Oryctolagus cuniculus: one gene and its partners. The protein of the gene in region 1 interacts with the protein of each later gene in a biochemical or structural test. Links are inferred from orthologs where the notes say so. Each region holds a gene or a part of one and is shown in the gene's direction. Other genes may lie near its edges.

Region 1 (3,649 bases):
TTGACAGGCAGAGTTAGAGAGGGACAGAGAGGCCGTCGCTGCGGCTCACTAGGCTAATCTTCCGCCTAGCGGCGCCGGCACACCGAGTTCTAATCCTGATCGGGGCGCCGGATTCTGTCCCGGTTGCCCCTCTTCCAGGCCAACTCTCTGCTGTGGCCCAGGAGTGCAGTGGAGGATGGCCCAAGTCCTTGGACCCTGCACCTGCATGGGAGACCAGGAGAAGCACCTGGCTCCTGCCATTGGATCAGCGTGGTGCGCCGGCCGCAGCGCGCCAGCCGTGGTGGCCATTAGAGGGTGAACCAATGGCAAAGAAAGACCTTTCTCTCTGTCTCTCTCTCACTATCCACTCTGCCTGTCAAAAAAATAAAGAAATAAATAAAATAAATAAAAGAGAGAGAGGGACAGAGAGAAAGGTCTTCCTTCCGTTGATTCACCCCCCAAATGGCTGCTACAGCCGGCGTGCTGCGGCCGATCCAAAGCCAGGAACCAGGTGCTTCTCCTGGTCTCCCATGCAGGTGCAGGGCCCAAGCACTTGAGCCATCCTTCACTGCCTTCCTGGGCCACAGCAGAGACTGGACTGGAAGAGGAGCAACTGGGACAGAATCCGGCGCCACAGGCGGAGGATTAACCAAGTTTCCCTTCCATGGCATGGAGCTCACGCCATCACTGCCCTCACATTCTGTGTTGTGTGGAGCACTCCCTGTCACTGCTCTCAACGTTTTGTAGCCTGGGCACTCGACTGAGTAGTATGAGTTAGACTTGGTTGACCTTTGGTGCAGCAGTTAGAAAAAGAAAAAAGGAAAATGAGACAAGCTGTCTTTTGACAGTCTTGAAAAGAGTTGTGGGTTTGTTTGTTTGTTTGTTTTTTTAATATTTATTTATTTACTTGAAAGAATTACACAGAGAAGGAGAGGCAGAGACAGAGAGAGAGAGGGAGGTCTTACATCCACTGGTTCACTCCCCCAGTTGGCCACAATGGCCAGAGCTGCGCCTTTGGGAGTAGATTTGACTACATAGAAGGGGAAGGAAGTGGAAAGCAACTTTGCAATAACTACTGATGGGCCAACGGGAATTTGAGAAATAGAAGGCAAGTGGGGGTCCTGGCAGTGATGATTCCAGGAGCCCCTGCAGAACAGGGCCAAAAAAGGGCCCCAAGTAGCTTCGTAACTTTAGCCAGAACCATTTTTCTCAATTCACCCAAGCAAGACTGTGGTGTGCTAAGCAGACAGTGAAAGCTAGGAGAGCCCCTTACACTGTGCCCTATTGATTCAGCCAGCCTGTTTCCTGGTCCCTGACGCGTGGAGCATCATCACTGCCATCCTGATTGTTGGGAGGATTAAATAATTGTGAATTTGTAGACTTGTCACCAAGTGTCTGCTGCGTGGTGATAGAAGAAACTACTTTTTGTATCATTGCTGTTTTCTGTTTTTATTTTTATGATGTTCTGATGTCAGGCTGTTTAGAATCTTTAAGACATGTCCTGTGTTTTGTTTTGTTTTCCCTCTCAGATCTGTGACTTCGGCCTGGCCCGCGTTGCGGATCCGGACCATGATCACACAGGGTTCCTGACAGAGTATGTAGCCACGCGTTGGTACAGGGCTCCAGAAATTATGCTGAATTCCAAGGTAAGGACCAAGTTTGCATAAAAAGAAAACCTTGCATGTGGGTTGTAGGAGGCCTCCCTCTCCAACCTGTTTCTACTTGCGTGGAGGCTTGGAGCCAAGGCACTGTTTTATCTCATCGTACTGCGTTAGAACTTCTGGGCCCTGGTTCAGCCACTGCACCGTGGCTGGGGTGGTGCTGACCTGTCCTCGCGTCAGGTTGAGCCTCCCGGTCGCTGTGACTGTAAGTGGTCTGTGTCCTGCCATTTGGTCAGTCCTGCCTGTGGAAGCTGCACCTACCAACACCACTGCCTGGGCATGTACCAGAGGCTTCCTGGTCATCTCAGCACCGAACCAGGGCTGTGCTGTCTAAATCAGCTGTACCTTTATAATGAGGAATGTCTCTTCTCCCTGAAGAAGACCTACAGCTCTTGTGATTCCTTCAAAGTTACATGGTACTTGTGTTTGCCAGGAAAGGGCCTTCCCCTGTGCCTCCACGTGGCTGTGGAGAGCGCATCCTGTCGCATCTGAGCTCTGCTAAGATCTGTGTGTCTCCTCAGAAATGATTGAATACCTCTGCAGAAGCACCAGAAGGCGAAAGGGTGACGGGTGTGTTAGGTTATGAGCAAGCAGGCAAAAGTTGAAGGCTGCCGTGAATACGGTGGCTTTTCATGCCTCGTTTGCAGAGAGCGTGTGAGCCAAAATTAGGTAGCTAGGTGGGCCTGGCATGGTTACGTTTGTCTGGTATCGCAGGACTCTGAGATTCCTAAGCACAGCCCCATCTGCTGGAAAGTAGTGTGGGAGGAGTCATGTGAACAGACATTGCACCGTAAGTCTGGGGCCCAGGAGCCAGGAGTGAAGTCGGGAGGCTGGGTGGAAATGGAAGAGCAGGGCTCCTAAGCTCACAGGCTCCATGCTCTTCCTCCGTCCTCCGCAAGTAAGGAGAAGCCGTTAGATTACTGTAGTTAGGAAATGGGATTATTTAAAGCAGTTATCCCTGATAACCTACATTTGTTCATTTTAGTTCCAAAAGTAAGCTCATTAAGATCAATTCCACTAGAAAGAAGGATTTGGTGTAACAGATGTTTCAGAGAAGAAAGTGCTGTGTTGACTCTCATAACTGTGTTAAAATAATCCCACACAGCAGGTTGCATCTCCAGCCAGCCGTGGACAGTCGTTCCTAGCAAGGGGTGCCCGTGTGTCTTTCATCTGGTGGCTACTTGGTCTCGTGTCGCCATTCCATCTTGAGGTGCCCCAGTTGCCCCCCAGGGGGACACAGCCAGACAGGGTGGGCTCTCTGCATGTTCCAGAGGCTCTCGCCCCTTCTACCTATGGGCTTACTGTGTGGGAACCTTTGTGGAGATTCATTTACTTGTAACACCTCTAGCCTAGGATCATCTTTCTAGTGACGTGTTCAACTTTATTCTTTTTTTTTAACTTAAAAATCTTTAAAGCCCATAGAAAAACTGAGAGTACAGTGACTGCCCCTGTACCCCTCACCTTCATTCCCCTGCCGTTGGCATCATACCCTTCCTTCCCCTTGCTCCCCACCTTTCTCTCCTCTCGTCTTCTCCGCGCTCTCCTCTTGGTCTGACCGTCTTCACTCTGCACCAGCCTGGTCCGTCACTTCACTCGTGCCCCCTTGGGAAACACTGATACTTCTAGAAAGGGGGTGTACTTCCCTAAAGCCAGGGAACCCTTAGCCCACCTAAGACGATCAGCATTCACTCAGCGACATTTTTGCAGAACACAGGTAAGCTGGTTTGTAGAACCACGCATGTTGTGTAAGTACCACAGCAGTGATGCTTTGTTCCTTCTCTGTGAAGTGCATCAGAACACACCTCTGCTTGGTGCTGTGTGGGTGCGTGTCCATGTTGGTTTTAAATTTCCCTTTATTTAACTTTGGCCAAAAACAAAGATTATTTTGGATTTTAAGAGGGGCCAGCATTGTGGTGCAGCAGGTTAAGCTTCCACCTGCAACACTGGCATCCCATACAGGCATCAGCTCAAGGCCGGCTGCTCTACTTCCTGATGCAGCTCCCCGCTAA
Region 2 (3,649 bases), on another chromosome or scaffold:
GGTTTTTTTTTTTTTTTTCTGTTTAAGGTATTTTTGATTTAGTGGGTTTTTTAAAGCCATTTTTTGGTCTAAGACAAAAACCAAATAAATGCTTTTAGTTTACCACTAGCGTCTGCTCTTGAACCACTCTACTGTGTGTCCCAGTGTGGCTTCTGTAAATCCTGTTCCAGGCTTTTTCTCTGGAAGGGTTTCTTCACAGTGTTTTGTTTGGAGGATGGTGTGGGTAAGCCTGAAGGGTACAGACCTAGGCATGTATACTTATCCGTCTCATTCTTAATGGAGTTTACTCTTAATTTTTCTTACACTAATGAGTGGTAATGGTTTGAGAATCACCAGTTAAACTTGAGTGTAAAATTCCTCATCACTATCTTAAATGGCTGCACATATTTTGCAGTTGTGTAAAGATGTCAGAAATGTCCAGTTTTTCTGTAGAAATTGAAAAGCTTGCTTACAGTGCTGTGGGTTCACCTGTTTTTCTTCCCGTTGAATTCACTGTGTTTGATACAGGTGTTTGGAATGGAACTCGTTGGCTGCTTATTTTCTAGAAACTGGAATGTCAGAGAGATGGCCCTCAGGCGTCTTTCCCATGATGTTAGTGGGGCCCTGCTGTTGGCAAATGGGGAGAGCACTGGAAATTCCGGGGGCAGCGGTGGCAGCAGTCCGAGCGTGGGAGCCGCCAGTGGGTCTCCACAGGCCAGCGTCTCTGGGGACGTGGTGGAGGCGTGCTGCAACGTCTTGTCGGTGGTCTGCGCCGACCCTGTCTACAAAGTGTACGTTGCTGCTTTAGTAAGTAGCTTTATTCCCTAACCATCTCATTGCGGGGTTCCTTTGCTGATTGTTTCAGATACTGTTTTCCAGATACAATAGAGCTACTTTATGTGACTTAACTCTGGAAAATCTGAAGTGTATTTTTCTTCCAAAATCCCAGGAAATGACAGTTTTCCATGTAACCGACCTCTCATTTAATTTTCCATTGTACTGATTTTAATCTGGTCAGGTTTCCTTACGTGCAGTTAGCTGTCCCCATCAAGCAGCAGTGTCCTGCTGTTCATACCTTACCGTGTTCCTGAGCAGGTACTTGACATGTGACTAAAGTGATAATAACTTAAGGGATAGTAAAGGGATCCAAGTTACTTTGCTTTTTTTTTTTTATTTTTTTTATTTATTTATTTTTTTTTGACAGGCAGAGTGGACAGTGAGAGAGAGAGACAGAGAGAAAGGTCTTCCTTTGCCGTTGGTTCACCCTCCAATGGCCGCCGCGGCTGGCGCGATGCGGCCGGCGCACCGCGCTGATCCGATGGCAGGAGCCAGGAGCCAGGTGCTTTTCCTGGTCTCCCATGGGGTGCAGGGCCCAAGCACCTGGGCCATCCTCCACTGCACTCCCTGGCCACAGCAGAGGGCTGGCCTGGAAGAGGGGCAACCGGGACAGAATCCGGCGCCCCGACCGGGACTAGAACCCGGTGTGCAGGCGCCGCTAGGCGGAGGATTAGCCTAGTGAGCCGCAGCGCCGGCCCTACTTTGCTTTTAATTTGGTATCTGTTGATATTAAGGAGAATTTCTTTTTAAGAAGCATTTTGCATGATTTTTAGTAAGCATTTTTGTGTGGAAACACAGGAGCCATTTCACAGAAGAGAGTGCCATGACACTAACTGTCATGACCCTGTCCTGTTTTTCCATGAAACATGCGGAGGGACAATGTGTGCCATAGAACAGTGCTCTTCACCCAGCTTTTTGCCTCTTAACTTCCTACCGGTTTTCTAACACAAACTTTTAGGCACACTTGACTGCCTGGTATGTTTCTCCTTTCGAGGGTCCATCTTCTGTGAGCTGTCCCTCATCTTCCCAGCCAGTGGCGACCCTGTCCTCTCACCATATTGCTCTCCCTGCAGATGCCATCTGGTTATCCTGCAGTTCAGACTGTCAGCTGGCCTGGAAGCCGCTTGAGATGGGCACCATAGAAAGGATGCCACGTTCTCGTCCGTTGGCAGTTATGTAGTGTGCCAGGCTCAGCAGAGACAGAAGTGGTCCTACCTTCAAAGCTTTTCTTCTCTTTTCTTCCACCACACACCTCCCTCTTTCCCTGTCTTTATTCTTCCCTCTTCCCTCCCCATCCCTAGTTTTTTGCTGAACCATTGTGGAGTTATTTCTAGGCATCATGACATTTTGTCCTCCAATCACTTAGCATGTGCCTCTTAAGAATATTTATATTGTGGGGCTGGCGCCGTGGCTCACTTGGTTAATCCTCCGCCTGCAGTGCTGGCATCCCATGTGGGCACCAGGTTCTAGTCCTGGTTGCTCCTCTTCCAGGCCAGCTCTCTGCTGTGGCCTGGGAAGGCAGTGGAGGATGGCCCAGATGCTAGGGTCCTGCACCCGCATGGGAGACCAGGAGGAGGCACCTGGCTCCTGGCTTCGGATCGGCGTAGCTCCAGCCGTGACGGTCATTTAGGGGTGAGCCAATGGAAGGAAGACCTTTCTCTCTGTCTTTCTCTCTCACTGTCTAACTCTAGCTGTCAAAAAAAAAAGAATACATACATTGTTCTGTGTAACCAGTTGCAACCAGCATGTTCTCCTTAATAACAGTATTACTGCATACTGTCAGGTTCCTATTTCAATCTTCCCAGCTGTGCCAGCAGTATACTTTATAGCTAAACTGCAGACTTTATTCACGTGTCAGTTTTCCCACTAACAGTTTTTTCTGTCCCAGGATCCAGTCCAGGATGCCGCATCGTACTCAGTCATCCTTTCCTCTTAATCTGTTGATCCTCTGTGATGATTCCTCAGCCTTCCCTTACATGACCTTGACTCCTGAGCCTTACCAGCCAGTTGTTTTGTAGAGTGCCCATCCATGTGCGTGTTTCTGATGCATACCTGTGGTTATTGTGCACTTTTCACAAGATTACCACAGGGGTGCTGTACCCTTCCCTCCTCAGTACACTGTAACAGTGGCTGATGCTCTCAGTTTGAGTGATGTCTGCTTTCTCCACTATGAATTTACTGTTAATAAATATCGGGCTGGCACTGTGGCATGGTGTGTTAAGCTACCGTCTGCAATGCCAGCATCCCATATGGGTGCTGGTTTGAGTCCCAGCTGCTCAATTTCTGACCCAGCTCCCTGCTAATGGCCCAAGAAAAGCAGTGGAAGATGGCCCAAGTATTTGGGGCTCCTGCTACCCACTTGGGAGACCCTGAGAGCCCCTGGCCTCCAGGCTTTGGCTTGGCTCAGCCCCAGCTGTTGCTACCATTTGGGGTTCACAGTTGCAGCAGCAATGGAAGATCTCTCACTTTTTTTCTCTCGCTTTCTGTAATCTGACTTTAAATAATAAATCTTTAAAAATAAAAATAAATAAGTATCTTGAGAGATACTTTGAAACTGTATAAATAAGAGTTGAAATTTTGCCCATTGATGTTACCGTTTGTCAGCAAATCTGACCTGGAGCAATTATTACTACACTATTAGAGCTGGTCTTCTAACGTTGATTTTTCTGTCGTCCTCATTCTTTCCACATTAATTAATTGGAATTCTTCTGTAAAGAAGAGCTGTCTCTTCCCCATTCATGTATCTATTCAGATTTTTTTTTTAAAGATTGTATTTAATTTTTTGAGAGGTAGAGTTAGAGAGAGGGAGAGACTGATTGTCTGTCTGCTGACT
Region 3 (3,649 bases), on another chromosome or scaffold:
AGCAGATGGCAAATCTCTATCTCCCCCTCTCTGACGTTCTACCTTTCAAATAAATAAATAAATTTCATGGGAAAATGGAATTGAAATATAAGCTTAAATTTGAACACAATTTTAAAAAAACAATTGAAGAGGGAAAAAATAATAAGATTTCTTTACAAGGCTTCCATTTCAGAATTAAACTGAAACCATTGGGCTGTAATATCAACTGGTACTTATCCATTTTTGCCCATGTCCAATAAGAGAATATTCACATTAGCTTAAATTAGATTTCTGAATTTTAATTTGAATGTAAATGTCTATCTGAAATTAACAATGCTTTGAATTAAATACTAAATTCAGTGATGATAAACTTTTTATATAGTGTTTTACTTTTTTAAAAAGTTCCCCTCTCATTTTTTTTTACTGCTTTTGAGCTCAGTGTGATTGTTCCACATTTAATGTGTGAGAAATCGACTTAAATTAATAAGTAATCTGCCCATTTTCAATCACTCAAAAGAGATGAATAGGTTGGTTCTTGAACCCAAGTTTTGTTTTGTTTTGTTTTGTTTTGTTTTGTTTTTTTACCAAACAGAGGTAGACAGTGAGAGAGAGAGTTACAGACAGTGAGAGAGAAACAGAGAGAAAGGTCTTCCTTCCATTGGTTCACTCCCCGCAAATGGCCACCACAGCCGGCACTGTGCCGATCACGAAGCCAGGAGCCAGGTGCTTCCTCCTGGTCTCCCATGGGGTGCAGGGCCCAAGCACTTGGGCCATCCTCCACTGCACTCCCAGGCCACAGCAGAGAGCTGGACTGGAAGAGGAGCAACCGGGACAGAATCCAGCACACCGACCGGGACTAGAACCTGGGGTGCCGACGCCATAGGTGGAGGATTAGCCTAGTGAGCCGCGGTGCTAGATTTGAACCCGAGTTTTCTAACTCTACCTGCTCTGTTTTACCATTAGATCTTGTTCCCACTCATCATAAGCCATAAATATCAAGCATGAGTGTTCTGGTTAGTAATTGATGTGATACATCAACTGTAAATTTGAATCCTTTGTTGAATTACACCCTCCATTGGGAAGTTGAAGGAGGGAGGCACTTTAAAAAAATCAGTCACCATTTTTAGTCAGGTACTTAGAAACCAATTTGGACACAAACTTGAATTGTTTAATAGTGTGCATGTGTGGCTGTAGGTGTGGCTGTAGCATAGGTTTGCAATTTTGGTTTTTTACTGTCATTGTAGTGGGGTTTTTGTTTTGTTTTGTTTTTTGCTGTTCTTGTTAACGTGGAACATGAGTAATTGTGGTGGTTGAAATAATTTTCCTTCATATTTCAGCACACAAAACTAACAGCTATATTTACTTACAACAAAGAAATAGTCTCCAAGTAGCATTAAGGAAAAATGTAGTAATAATGGTATCATTTTAATTTGTAACTATATTACTAAACTTGGCACCATGTCATCCAGCATTCTTTTCTTTCACTTGTATATGCCTCAAGGTAAGAGCAGAAAATTTGAAGAAGGAAAAGGAAATGCTTAAATTATCAGAAGTTCGTCTTTCCCAGCAAAGAGAGTCTCTGTTAGCTGAACAAAGAGGGCAAAACCTGCTGCTAACTAATCTGCAGACAATTCAGGTAACCAAATAAAAATCGTGTGGGGGAAAAAATTGATAAAAGTTGAATTTGGGTAGTTTGTTCCTTTTGTTTTCTCAGTTTTTTTACTTTGAAAAGTGTTTTTGTCACTTTTATCATCCATTATGATCAGTGAGTTTGGGAGCTTTTTAAGACATTTTAATGGTTTTTTTAAAAAACCTGTTAAGTGGGGCCGGCAAGTGGGGCCGGCACTGTGGTGTAGCAGATAAAGCTGCCACCTGCATTACCGACATCCCATATGGGCGTTCACTCGAGTCTTGGCTGCTCCACTTCCATCCAGCTCTCTGCTATGGCCTGGGAAAGCAGCAGAAGATGCCCAAGTCCTTGGACCCTGCACCCACATGGGAGACCCAGAAGCAGCTCCTGGCTCCTCTCCCTCTCCCCCTCCCTGCCTCCTTCTCCTTCTCCTTCTCTCTCTGTGTAACTCTGACTTTCAAATAAATCTTTTTACAAAAAAAAAAAAAACCTGTAAGTGAATGGATTGAGAGACCAGCCCTGTGGTCTAGAGGGTAGAGCTACTACCTGTGACGTTGGTATCCCATGTTAGCACTGGTCCACTTTCCACCCAGCTCCCTGTTAATGGCCTGAGAAAAGCAATGTAAGATAGTCCAAATGCTAGGGTTCCTGTCACAAATGTGGGAGACCTAGAAAAAGTTCCTGGCTCCAGGCTTTGGCCTGGTCCTGGCCCTGACCATTGCAGCCTTCTGGAGAATGAACCAGTGGAATGAAGATGTCTCTATGTTTGACTTTAAAATAAATAACTGTTAAAAAAAGAGAGAGAGAGAGAATGGATTGAAATCATGGAATTGGCAAGTTTGATATTCAGATCTATAATTACAAGATCCTATGCAGCTTAACTTTTTCCAGATTAATATTTTGGGTTTTGTTTTTCATTAAAACTTGAAAATCTGAATGAGTATTAAAACTTGTTTTTTTTCCCTGTTATATAAATATTTTCTTGATTAATACTTTATACTGTTCATGTAGAAAAATGGATTATGGGCCAGTGCCATGGCTTACTTGGTTAATCCTCCGCCTGTGGCACCAGCATCCCATAGGGGCGCCGGGTTCTAGTCCCGGTTCCTCCTCTTCCAGTCCAGCTCTCTGCTATGGCCTGGGAGGACAGTGGAGGATGGCCCAAGGTTTGGGCCCTGCACTTACATGGGAGACCAGAAAGAAGCAGCTGGCTGCTCCTGACTTCGGATCAGCACAGCGCTGGCCGTAGTAGCCATTTGGGGGTTGAACCAACAGAAGGAAGACCTTTCTCTCTGTCTCTCTCTCTCACTGTCTAACACTATCTGTCAAATAAATTAAAAAAAAAAAAAAGGAAAGAAAAATGGATTATTATCCCCTAAATCCCTACAGCTTATAATTATCTTTGTATTGCTTCTTTTACTTTGTTGGTAAACTTAACTAAACTCTCTCTTTTACCGTAGGGAATACTAGAGCGATCTGAAACAGAAACCAAACAAAGACTTAGTAACCAGATTGAAAAACTCGAACATGAGATCTCTCATCTAAAGAAGAAGTTAGAAAATGAGGTGGAACAAAGGCATACACTCACTAGGAATCTAGATGTGAGTCCATAACCATCGTGAGTTTCTGTAGCTTCTTCATGTTTCATAATAAACCTGGAGTGTGGACATATATGCAAGTTGAAGCATGGTTTTGAAAAAAATTACTTAAAAACTCTGTTACCCTTTATTCTTTGTTTGCAGCTAAATTTTGTTTGGGTGCCATATATTGTGAGTTTTGCCCCGTTAGGTGCTGGGTAATTTTGTATTCCTTTGAATCTGCTTAAGCTGTGTTCTAGGATTTTAATAAAGTTAATTAGACATAGTTTGAGTCCTACTTTTGGTGATGTATTAGGCAGGCCCAGAGCAGTGCTTAGCCTAGGACGTGTTTCCCACTGCTGAGGCAAGACCTTCATGAGGACTGGGCCCAGTGTCCAGTGGATTGTGATTTCTTCCAGGCGGGCTGCTGAAACAGAAGTTATTCTGAGTGCCAGCACCCTTC

Evidence for each region.
Region 2: of the proteins of MAPK1 (region 1) and MAP3K1, one has a biochemical effect on the other in vitro, tested with the Homo sapiens proteins (3 studies listed by BioGRID). The link is inferred for Oryctolagus cuniculus from reciprocal best matches to the Homo sapiens genes MAPK1 and MAP3K1.
Region 3: of the proteins of MAPK1 (region 1) and TPR, one has a biochemical effect on the other in vitro, tested with the Homo sapiens proteins (2 studies listed by BioGRID). The link is inferred for Oryctolagus cuniculus from reciprocal best matches to the Homo sapiens genes MAPK1 and TPR.

What each region holds. Positions count from the first base shown.
Region 1 is NC_091452.1:29,050,681-29,054,329, forward strand, and holds part of MAPK1 (mitogen-activated protein kinase 1), read left to right. Parts: intron 1-1,508; coding exon 1,509-1,625; intron 1,626-3,649. UniProt on the Homo sapiens protein: Serine/threonine kinase which acts as an essential component of the MAP kinase signal transduction pathway. MAPK1/ERK2 and MAPK3/ERK1 are the 2 MAPKs which play an important role in the MAPK/ERK cascade.
Region 2 is NC_091445.1:77,547,343-77,550,991, forward strand, and holds part of MAP3K1 (mitogen-activated protein kinase kinase kinase 1), read left to right. Parts: intron 1-507; coding exon 508-786; intron 787-3,649. UniProt on the Homo sapiens protein: Component of a protein kinase signal transduction cascade. Activates the ERK and JNK kinase pathways by phosphorylation of MAP2K1 and MAP2K4. May phosphorylate the MAPK8/JNK1 kinase.
Region 3 is NC_091444.1:3,534,447-3,538,095, reverse strand, and holds part of TPR (nucleoprotein TPR), read left to right. Parts: intron 1-1,480; coding exon 1,481-1,615; intron 1,616-3,069; coding exon 3,070-3,210; intron 3,211-3,649.